Coturnix japonica: one gene and its partners. The protein of the gene in region 1 interacts with the protein of each later gene in a biochemical or structural test. Links are inferred from orthologs where the notes say so. Each region holds a gene or a part of one and is shown in the gene's direction. Other genes may lie near its edges. The genes, in order: PRKAR2A, AKAP1 and CDK1.

Evidence for each region.
Region 2: the proteins of PRKAR2A (region 1) and AKAP1 form a complex in vitro, tested with the Homo sapiens proteins (2 studies listed by BioGRID, with this or other methods). The link is inferred for Coturnix japonica from reciprocal best matches to the Homo sapiens genes PRKAR2A and AKAP1.
Region 3: the proteins of PRKAR2A (region 1) and CDK1 form a complex in vitro, tested with the Homo sapiens proteins (2 studies listed by BioGRID, with this or other methods). The link is inferred for Coturnix japonica from reciprocal best matches to the Homo sapiens genes PRKAR2A and CDK1.

What each region holds. Positions count from the first base shown.
Region 1 is NC_029527.1:9,279,332-9,282,981, forward strand, and holds part of PRKAR2A (cAMP-dependent protein kinase type II-alpha regulatory subunit), read left to right. Parts: intron 1-386; coding exon 387-470; intron 471-3,450; coding exon 3,451-3,557; intron 3,558-3,650. UniProt on the Homo sapiens protein: Regulatory subunit of the cAMP-dependent protein kinases involved in cAMP signaling in cells. Type II regulatory chains mediate membrane association by binding to anchoring proteins, including the MAP2 kinase.
Region 2 is NC_029534.1:7,711,408-7,714,988, reverse strand, and holds the end of AKAP1 (A-kinase anchor protein 1, mitochondrial), read left to right. Parts: intron 1-249; coding exon 250-323; intron 324-1,109; coding exon 1,110-1,175; intron 1,176-1,290; coding exon 1,291-1,353; 3' UTR 1,354-2,947; downstream 2,948-3,581.
Region 3 is NC_029521.1:6,516,415-6,520,164, forward strand, and holds the start of CDK1 (cyclin-dependent kinase 1), read left to right. Parts: upstream 1-1,098; 5' UTR 1,099-1,272; intron 1,273-1,511; exon of another isoform or gene 1,512-1,567; intron 1,568-1,722; 5' UTR 1,723-1,736; coding exon 1,737-1,773; intron 1,774-2,550; coding exon 2,551-2,707; intron 2,708-3,718; coding exon 3,719-3,750. UniProt on the Homo sapiens protein: Plays a key role in the control of the eukaryotic cell cycle by modulating the centrosome cycle as well as mitotic onset; promotes G2-M transition via association with multiple interphase cyclins.

The sequences.
Region 1 (3,650 bases):
GTGTTGGAACTAATATAGGCAGAGTTCAGGAAGGAAACTTGACTTTTTCATCTGGGTTCCCCAGCCTTGACTGTATCTGTGGCTGGGTTAGAAGGGAAGGAAAAAAAAAAAAAGGCATCCTTTTCTTTTTTGTCTCTCTTTACTGTTGTTTTGCATGTGTTAATTGTCAGAATAATATATTTCTTATGGGTTTTTCTTTTATTTTCTTTTGCCTCGCATTATGTGTTTGTATGTAAATACTGCTTGTGCAGACAGTAAAAAGGAGCTGTAAACAACGATACCTGACATTGTATTTGTGTTTTTGTTCTGAAGTGAAGGTTTAATTTGCGATAATATTTCTTTGCTGTTGTGACAGTTCATTTATTTATTTTCACTTTGTTTTAAAGATAGTTCATCCAAAAACCGATGAACAGCGATGCAGACTGCAGGAGGCGTGCAAAGATATCCTGCTCTTCAAAAATCTAGATCAGGTAATATTAATTTAAAGAAATCCAAACATGAATTATTGCTGTTCAGTAGTTTGATCTAACAGTCCAGACACTGTTTTTACATTGTGATCGTTCATGAATTTTTAATTACATGCAGACTGGCTTGGGGCATGTGTTTAGAGGTTGCCATCAATGAACAGTACAGATAAGCAGGTCAGACTGACAGTTACCATCACTGCCTACATTTGCTTCATTTTAGATTGCTCACTTTTTTATGATCTGCAGTGTGTCAGTAACATTTCTGTAAGTGAATGTAAAAGTCATGGTTTGGGATTGTCCATGTTCCTGCTCATCTTACAGACTTATTGCTGAAGTTAATTGCTCTTTGCTTCAGTTCAGGAATGGACCTTTGGGGTTCATCACATCCAGCCTCTGAAAAACCATAGAATAATTTATATCTGTTTTTGTTTCTATCTGTATGGAACTGATATTTCCAATACAGATTGAATAAATTTTGGTATCATATATCAGAAATAATGAAAGCTGTAACACCAGCAATGGTACCTACAGCTTCATGGTTTGAATCAGAGCTTTTCCTGAGGAATGGAAGTATGTACTTCATGGCTTCAGAAGTACTGCTCAGCTTCCCTTGGAAATTAGGAATTTCTCCCAGTTCTTGGCTGCTGTAAACAATGAAACATGTTTAAGAATATTCAGCTCCATTAGTATGTACAAAATGCAATCACCATTCAGACTGATGAGGCTGATCTCTTGGCTCCCAGCAAAACAACCCAGTGATTAATAACCAGTTCATATTTAAAGATAACTTCAAAAAAACAAATTTGAACCTAGAAAATGGGATTAGAAAAATACTGCTTCCCAAGGAAAGCTTTCTAAGCAACTGGGAAGAGAAGCAGTGGAAATAATCATAACTGCAGCTGTTAAAGACTCAAGCTTTAAGATAGCATGTGGTGAAAAAGATGACTGCATTGCGTACGTTAATTATAGTGTGACAAAGGGCACTTAGCAGAGAGGGAAGAGCTTTTCTAGTACTGGGTATAAGTGGGATATGAGACTCGCATTTTTTTGCTGCTCATCCTGATGATTTCTTTTCAACATCCTCTGTATAGTTGTAAAACATGACTCATTTACAAGGTTGGCCACACAGAACCTACTGAATTGTGAAATGCACGATAGCTGCTTTTGCTCATTGTTTAATGTCCTTTAATAATTATGAGGAACACTTCCAAATGAAGGCCCCAAGTCTGTTCTTTTGCTTCTAAACTTCCAAAGAGTGTGATGTAAAACTTTAAAAAATGAAACAGCAAAAAAAAACCCAAAAAAACACAAAACAAAAACCAACAAAACATGTAAAACCCCTCTAGGGTTAAATGTGTAGATGTAACTTGAATGTCTTGGCCAAATTCATTCCTTTTCTGCTGGTTGCATGTTGGTGGACTGTGTTGAATTTAGGTCCAGAGACTCAACTACTGTGTTAAATATCTTGTGTGTTAAATACTCTTGTGTGAGTAGCTGTTGTAATACTTGATATGAAATACAAAGGAGCCAGTGTCCATTGGATAATTTGTGGCAAGATTCACATTGAGTTTTGGACTAATATCAGAGTTTAACTGTGTGATAATATAGATAGAAGTTATGGTCATGTCCAGTGACATATCTGATGTATTTTTCAACCTAAAGTGCAGGGAGTGTAGAAAACTGGCTGTTAAAAGCTTGGAATGAAATACCATGTATTTGCTCCACAATATCTTATAAATGAATTTGTAGAATTTGAGCTGTGACTGAAATGTTCATGGTGAGAGCAACTATTGTTATTCTTAGCAGAAAAATCCCTGAGCATCCTTAGTACTTGTCTTTAAACAACAAAGCCTTACAGTTCAGGAGTCTGACAGAGCATAGTCCCTTATTAACAGAAGAACTCTCTGTTGCATTTCTTTAATCTAAGTCTTTGCCTGCTTATTCTCCAAATAAAACACAGCTGAGTTCCTGTGTTTTTAGAAAGTATTTTTTTTTAGGATTTTTAATTGTTTTTTGACAAATTATTCGAACAAACTGCTTTCAGGCAGTAATTCCTAGTTTAGTTTAAGTACCAGGAGAGTTTTTAAAAATGTGATAATAAAATTCAATGAAAAGCAGGAATATAGTTGATATAGAGCCAGAGCCATCCAGAGCCAAGCCTAGATGGCCTGTGTTTGCAAGAGTGCTAGAAGCAGTATCTTGTATGGTTGGTGCTGCCTGGCTGTGGGCTTTGACTTTCACAACTTCCTTGTCTGTGCTGCCTACAAGAGTTTAGTCACAGCTCACAAGAGAAACCCAGTTTGCCTGGTTTTTAGGTATGCATATAATGAAACTTATGTATTGCTGATAGAAATCAGTGAGTGTCCATTGCAGTGAAGGTGTGAAAGGTTTTGAAGGAGACAGACTCTTTACCAGGGTCTGTTGTAACAGGACAAGGGGAAATGGTTTCAAACTGAAACAGGAGATGTAGATTGGATATAAAGGGAAAAGTTCTTTATGGTAAGGCAGTGAGGCACTGGCACAGGCTGCCTAGAGAAGTGGTGGTGCCCCAGCACTGCAGACAGCCAAGGTCAGGCGTGATGTGCTCTGAGCACCTGATGGAGCTGTGGGTGTCCCTGGTCATTACAGGAGGGTTGGACTGATGGCCTTTAGGGTCCTTTCTGTCTCAAATGATTCTGTGGTTCTATGATTATCCCAGGTGAGATCTTGGTACATGCAGTGTGCTTTGGCATTGCCGTAGTGTGCATTAAGCATACATATTTGAGGTGATGGCTCTTCTGTAGTGGAAGTATCTTTTTGTATTCATTATTGGACTTAGACTGATAAGCTTTAAACAAAGTGAGATACTTCACAGTTAAAATCAAAATTTGTTATTGAAATTACTTTCATTTGCGTACAGTAAAAATAGTGCAGTGTGATGTATGTTGCAGTTCACTGTCCAGGTCAAGTCCAGGTCAAGTTTTTCTCCTCATTTGTTTTATAGGAGCAGCTTTCTCAAGTCCTTGATGCCATGTTTGAGAGGAAGGTGAAACCTCATGAACATGTGATTGATCAAGGGGATGATGGAGACAACTTCTACGTCATTGAGCAGTAAGCAGCTGTGCCTTTGAAATACAAAATATGTTTCTTTTAGTTTCTTAGAAATGGCAGGGCTGGTTTCTGAAAGAACCATATTTCTTGCAA
Region 2 (3,581 bases), on another chromosome or scaffold:
TTCACGTGAAGTTAGCTAGTGGCTTTGAAAAGCAGTTCATCCTCTCCCTTCAGCAACACAGCAGGCATAATACTTGTGATCTCCTGCTTAATAGACTGGTTTCAGCAAATGCCTGCAGCAGCAATAGGTGAGGATTCTCTCTGGCCTAACTTATGTGGGAGGTCAGACAATATTAGATTAATGGTACCTTCTGGACTTTAAAGCCTGTGAATATCTCACTTGTTTTCTCCTGTTCTTTTCTTTCCAAAGATGAGGATCACTTTTCATCAGAAGCTGATGCTGCTGTTAGTGAGATGACCAGAGGGGCAGCACTGCTGGCGCAGGTACATGAGAGCTGTCTGGAAAAGACTTGCTGATGATTTTACTGCTACTGTTATCCTCTCTAACCCTAGTATAGTGTGTGTGTGTGTGTTAATCAGAAAGTCTAGAACCTGTAAGCCTGGCTGCCGGGCAAGATTCTTTTTGAGAAGCCTAAGCTCCTGAGAACAGGCTTGTGTAGCAACCTTGTATAGCATCACCACTGCACGGGACTGTGTGCCTCTAAGAGCTGTGCAAAGAAAGGGGCAAGAATCCCTTTTGTCAGCTGATGCAGACGATGAGGATGGATACATAAATGGGCTTATGGAGCCAAAGCGGACTGTTCAGGTGAAGCACTGTGCTGCCCTGCCAGCCTGGAGTGTTCCTGCCACAGAAAGATGTGGCCTGTGGCTGGTTAGTGGAAGAAGGGATTCTAATGGAGCTCAAAGGCTTCTGTGCATGGTGCTAGGTCTTACTGAAGGGGACTTTACCTCTTTTGAAGTGCTTCTCATAGTGGCTGTAACTATCAGTGTAAATTAATTGAAATGAGATGAGTGGGAAGCCTGATAGTGTTTGTGATAGCTTTATAGCTTCCTTTGGCTTAACACAGTGCCCAAAGGCATAAGTAATTCTGGCCAGGGCAGAGATTTGAGCAAATAAAGTAAACTTGCCAGCACTATCTGAGCTGTGTGGTGGCAGCAGCTGATTCCCCTGATCTAGCATGTGAGTTGAGGAACTGAGTACCATGCAGTGAATTACACCAGCTCTGCACCTATAATGAATGAGACCAAATTGCTGTTTTCTGTTTCCAGGTCACGAATTATGACAGTGCAACAGGTCTGCCACTGATACAGCTGTGGAGTATGATGGGAGATGAGGTATGCTGCCATGCTGTTGTTTAACATGTTTCAGTTCTGATTCATCACAGTGCTGATTTGGAACGTGGCCTTTCTTGTTAGTGGTTTTTTCATTCTTTTTTTCCTCTTTCTTCAGGTGGTGTCAATAAACAGAACTCTTGTGGAAAGAGGATTTGCTCAGTGGGTTGACAACTACTAGTGGTGTCCTGGATGCCTCGACAACATTTTCCTAACAGGGAAAAAAAAAAATAATCCTGTTTTGCACTGTTACAATTCGGTTTGGCAACCTCTTACGGAAGATCTGTTTACACCTGCCTGCAGAGTTTTGTGGTCCATTGAAAACTGTTTTGCTCAACTGTTACCATTTCACTAGAAACACATACCTCATCTCAGTGAAAGGCAGGGTGTTAAAAGCCATAATGAGAGATACTGTAGCTTTAAGGCAAAAAATTCTCCCTGGCCTCTACTTAAAAGGCAAAAGCCTTTCAAATCCTGGGGCTTGCTTGAAGCTACCAAATGCCCCTGGAATGTTGGCTGTGGCTACATTTGAGTTGGAGATGTGTAGTGCCCATGAAGTTGGTGTCTGCTTTTCCTGGAAGTTACAGTTGCTGTCCTTTTTATTCTTTAAGCAGGCTCTGCCTGTGCAGTTAATGAATGTTATTCAGGAATTTAATGTTCAGTTACGGAGTTTTCTATATGGTGCCACTAACGTGCATAAATTGCGTTCATCTTTTATCTTCTTGATGCCAGGAGGTTGATGAGCTGCATTTGTTGCACATACTGTGACACGTCTCACTGCGATCGTGCTTTTTATGCTTGATAAGCTTAAGGAAGAAGCGCTTGAAGAGCAGGATACATTACCACTACAATTTTGCTCTGAAATATTATGTATTTAAAGAAAAGAACCGATTGCCAAGCCTAATTGTAATTTGTATTTTTTCTAGCTGTGCAAGTCTGTAAATATATATTAAAAACATTGTAATATTTTGTACAAGAAAAACACTGGAAACAAAGGGAACTTTACAGAAACTTTTTCACACCAAAATGTCCTTTGTAGGTAGAACTGGTTTGGAGTGCATTAGGGTAGCCGATGTATTTGGAGCATCTGGAGATGGGAGTGTTTCTGCTGTACTGTCCACAGGATTAGCATTCCCGTAGGTTGCTGTCTGGTTTGAGCTGTGATCACTGCATTCTTTGCTATGTTTCTGTACAGACCTGTTTAAAAAAGAGAAAAAAGAAAGAAGTACCCATTTGACATTCGTGTGGCAGTGGTTTTCTCTCTCACTGTTGTTTTTCGGTTTTTGGTTTTGTTTGGTTTTTGTTTCTTTTTTTCTCCTTTTTAGATTTATTTGTATCACAAACTGAAAACATTTGTTTTTTGCCCCAGTAATTGAAGCTGACTTAATACTCTTAAGCACATGCCCTCTAATGTTTATCACTTTAGATATGTATTGAGTTGGGATTTATTGCTGGTGGAGAAGATACTTGCCAGGCAAATTATGTAGTCAGGGCCTCCCAGGTTTTTTCAGGTGGATTCAGGGGTGTCTTTACATCCAATGAGCCCATGTGTCCCTATGTCATGCATTTGGATAACTGCCTACAAAAGTATTTGGTCCAGTCCCTTCTGATATGGTATGATTATCCTTTCTTGAATTTTCTACTATTTAATGTTCGTATTTGCAATAATTTCCAATGAAAACTAAATTTGGTAATCAGTTAAATCTATAATACATATATCCTTTTGGAATGTTTCTTCCCATTTCAATTAAAGTTCAAATTTTAAGCCATCTTAATCAAACTGTGATGACTAAGAGCCTTCATTTCTAGACCTCTTGGGATGTAGAGTTGGAAGAGAGCTCAGTGGGATAAGCAGGTGAGGTGCAGCCCCAATGGCTTTTCAGCAGGTACATAAAGGTCAAGCTTCAAATCTCCTGGTTTTGGGTTTGGTTTTTTTTTTCCATTTCAAATTCTGTGAAAGAGCTGAAAACTGGCCATAACCTTGTGATGAATTGCCTATTAGAAAGCCTTTGTTGGAGCAGCAGTACTCAGTTGTATACATGGTGCAGTGAATTTACCCTGTGGATCTGGGAAGCTGCTTGATCCCACGTGTGTGTTGAAAGCTCTCAAAACTTGGGAGTCATCCTGTTGTGCAGAGACAAAGCTTCTTTAAAATGCTGACAAGTTCATTATTGGAGCCAAGCAGAGCAATGATGTGAATCGTGAGTAGTTTATCCATACCTGGTACCAGAGCACCCTGCAATTGGTCAGGTATTTTTTGGCAGCAGCTGTATCTGCTTTCTGAAAGGAAGAGAAATGAAGGCACTGACTGCACTGACTCCTAGGGGGTAGCACAAAACAGTGTTAAACTTGAGGGTATTGCCTTTGTGAGCGCATACATATCTGTGGACTATATAATTGTTCAAGGAT
Region 3 (3,750 bases), on another chromosome or scaffold:
TTTTGCATCTGATTTCACGTTTTGCTTTAAATGGGAGCAGGAATCCAATGGAATCTGTACTGCTCTGTCCATTGAGGGCTCAGTGGTGAGCAGACCACCCGCTGCTATTGCTTCACACAGAGAACTACGTCTCTTCAAACACAAAAGCAAATACAAATGTATCAGCTGCACGCGCACCTGTGTCAAGCAGCACTGTTAGCTATTGCTGGGTCTGCAACAATAATAATGCTGATGCTGCTAGTTAAAAAATTAATTTGGGTTAAGTCTGGAATTTCCTACACTTAAATTTGAAGTGAAAGCTCAATTTTGGCCACCTTCCTATAGTTTGTGGACAAGAGCCAGTCAGTGGCAGTGGTTCTGACCTGTGCTGGTTGCACAGTGCAGCCCCCAAAGCTATTGAGCACACACGGGCTGGCTGTGCTGGCCATGCGGTCAGGCCTGAGGGATGTGTCACTAACACTTTGCTTCAGCTGTGCAGCCAGTCTGTGCGCTGCTGAGCCTGGGCTGTGCTGGATTCATTACACAGGAGAGAGCTTCTCTGTGTGTGTACAAAGCACGTCGGATTCACTACCTACAAACTGTGCTGGATTTGAGGCTGTGCTCCTGCCCAGGGCTTCCCAAAGCGATGCAACAGCTTTGTTCTATGCAGGGAATCTCAGCAAGTGCTGGGAGTGCAAACAAAAACCGAAGGGCACGTGTGGTGCCTGTTTCTCAGGAGCAATAATTCCCCTTGAGGGAGGGCAAAGCGGAGGGTTTATGTTGCTGAAACTGATGTATGCCCAGGGAGGTTGTGGATGCCCCGTCCTTGGAGGTGTTCAAGACCAGGTTGGACAGGGCCCTGGGCAACCTGATCTAGTAAATGTGTGTTTGGTGGCCCTGCCAGGCAGGGGGTTGGAACTACATGATCCTTGAGGTCCCTTCCAACCCGGGTCATTCTGTGATCTGTGATTCTGTATGCTGGAGGGGGACACCTCCACACCAGCAGGTGGCGCTGTGGTGCGGGACGTGCCGCTCTCTCTCTTCTTCCTGGCGCCTTTCCGTGTCGCTTTGGCGCCGCCGGATCGTAGCGCTCCGATTGGTCGCTTTGAATCATCCCGGCGCTGCTCCATTGGTGGGTGGTGGCGGCAGCGCTGAGCGGCGGGTTCGAATCCTCGTCGCCCGCCCCCGGCTGAGCACTGAGCGCCCGCAGCGCGGAGCTGGTGGCGGCGCCGGGCCCGGTTGGCCGTGGTACCGCTACGGGAGCGAGGGGCGCCGGCTTTGAGCGGCCTAGTTGTGAGTGCGGCCGTATCGGCGCATAGGGGGGAGGGTGCAGGCGCTTGGGCCCTTATGGCCGCCCGCACGGTCGGGATGGGGGCTGGGTGCTGGTAGCGGGGTCCGTCCGCTCGGGCCTTCACGGGGAGGGACGGAGCGCCGGGCCCTGGGCTATGGGGGGGCGTTGGGGGCTGCGGGCGGTGCGGGGCTGCCGGCCTCGTGCGCTGCCTGCGGGCGGTTTCCAGGCCGAGGCAGGTTGCCGTTAACGTACGACTGGGAAAGCTCCCAGCTGGGGCCACGTTTCCCTCTTGATTCGGTGTGTATTTGTATGTAGGGATGGCGGGCTTTTTTAGCTGTGTCCCCTAATAAACGCTTCTTCCCTCCTTCCCCCCCCTTTTGAATCATCAAGCTTTTGGGGCTTTGTTTGCATTCAAGGAGCGCCTGTTGAATCTCACGGCTTTTTTGTTGCAGGTGTGCCCACAGCCATGGAGGATTACACCAAGATAGAGAAGATTGGGGAGGGTAAGTAAGCTTGCCTGGAGCTTTGCGAGGTTCTGCAGCTTGGGCTGCCAGCTGTTGTAAGCATTGTGACCTCCTGCTATCCGGAGAACTACTGGCATTCTATGGAGTCTTATATAGATGTAAATGCACTCAGGCTGCCTTTCTTCTGAAGGTGACAGTGTCTGAAACAGCTGCTCTGTGCTGGGAGCCATCTCCCTTCACACTGATGGCCAGTGGTGCACCGTGCCACTGCAGGGCAAAAGCGTTCTGAGTCAGGAAGTCGGCTTTCCTGTTTGGGAAGCTGGAACACATCTATTCTTTTGCAACTGCCCTTCCTTACAAGTTGCTCCTGAAATTGCACTTTGGGTGGCTGTGCTTTTGTTTGGAGCCCCTGGTAGGGAAAAAGTGCTACACAGGTGTTTTTACTGGGGTTCTGTGCTGTTGCTGCTCCCGTCACAGGGTGATACCATGAACCCGTGTGCAGAAGCGCATTTAAAACTATTATGTTGGTTTACTGTAAGGCACCTTAATGTAAAAGAAGGCCCGTGCAGATGTTTGTCACAACCTCCCTTTCACTGGGAGCCCTTCCTTTATCAAAAGTAGAAGTTGGTTCAAATAGTTATTTTTTTCTTTGAGATTTACCACTAGTTCCGATTATATTTTCCGCTGAGGCCCATAGTACTTTTAGCACTACTTTGTCATAAGGATTCTTGCCTATGTAGCAGTTCTTATTTGCAATGACTTATCTGCACCTGAAACCAGTATTTCCTATATGCGTTTCCCTGTTTGTTTGTTCAGGTACCTATGGTGTTGTGTATAAAGGGCGCCACAAAACTACAGGCCAAGTGGTTGCAATGAAGAAAATACGTCTAGAAAGTGAGGAGGAAGGTGTTCCAAGTACTGCTATCCGAGAAATATCTTTATTAAAAGAGCTGCGTCATCCCAATATAGTCTGGTAGGCATACGCTGGTATTTAGCCGTACTCTCTGAAAGGCACCAGGTCTCTTCAGATAAATTATTTTTCCACTGTTCTGGGAAGGAGGCAGTTATTCTGTGTAGTTGCTGCAAAGCAGACGTATTACACTTTAGTCCCAAATCTGGAGAGCAAACTGGTTTTTAATTAAGACTGTCTTCTGCTGCACCTATTCTAAGAATTAAAGAAAAGTATTTCTGTTAATTATTCAGAGTGGTTATTGGAGGAATGGAGACAGTGTGCTTCTGGGAAACTGTTTAAGTCAGCCTCAGAACTTTTTGTTATCGTGGGCTTATTCGTCTGACTTCAGTGTTCTTGGTGTGGGCCTTTGTCACCATGCACTTCCTTACTGTCCCATGGCAGAGCTGTCGGCGCTGCACTATAATGCTTACAGCTGGCACTTCTGATCTGCACCTGAAACTTCCATCAGTGGCTGCCTGATGTGAAGAACTGGTTGTAGTCAATGTCTTCTGTACAAAATACTTGCGCTTTAATGTAGTAAAATACTTTGGATTTAATGTGGCCTGAAATTGGCCAAGGTTCATCCAGGTGGTGTCCCAGTGGATGAATGCATGTATTTAAAAGCCTTTATAATCTATTAAGGATGAAGGAGATGCTTAAAAACCCATACAACTCCTGCTGCATCTAGGAGGTACCTATTCTAATGCAGAGCCCTTAAAGTCTTCCAATGATTCTGCTATAGTAAACCAGATTCAGATGGAAGTTAGGTACTGATACCTTCTTCAGCCTTCCCCTGCCTCATGCTAGGCACAAGGAAACACAAGATTCAGAGGAACCATACAAGGTGTTTGTCTCATATATGTTCAGTTTTCCAAACAACAGTGCAGTTAATCTTTGAAGACTGAGAGAAAGCTTTGTAAGCCTTTCTTATTAGGAACCTAGAAACATCAGCTTGTGTCCCTGTTGAGAAGGGAAACAAGCCAGCGGGTCTGCGTACTTTGCAGTGGAGTTGACTGTACCCTTAATTTTCAGTCTTCAGGATGTCCTTATGCAGGATGCAAGGC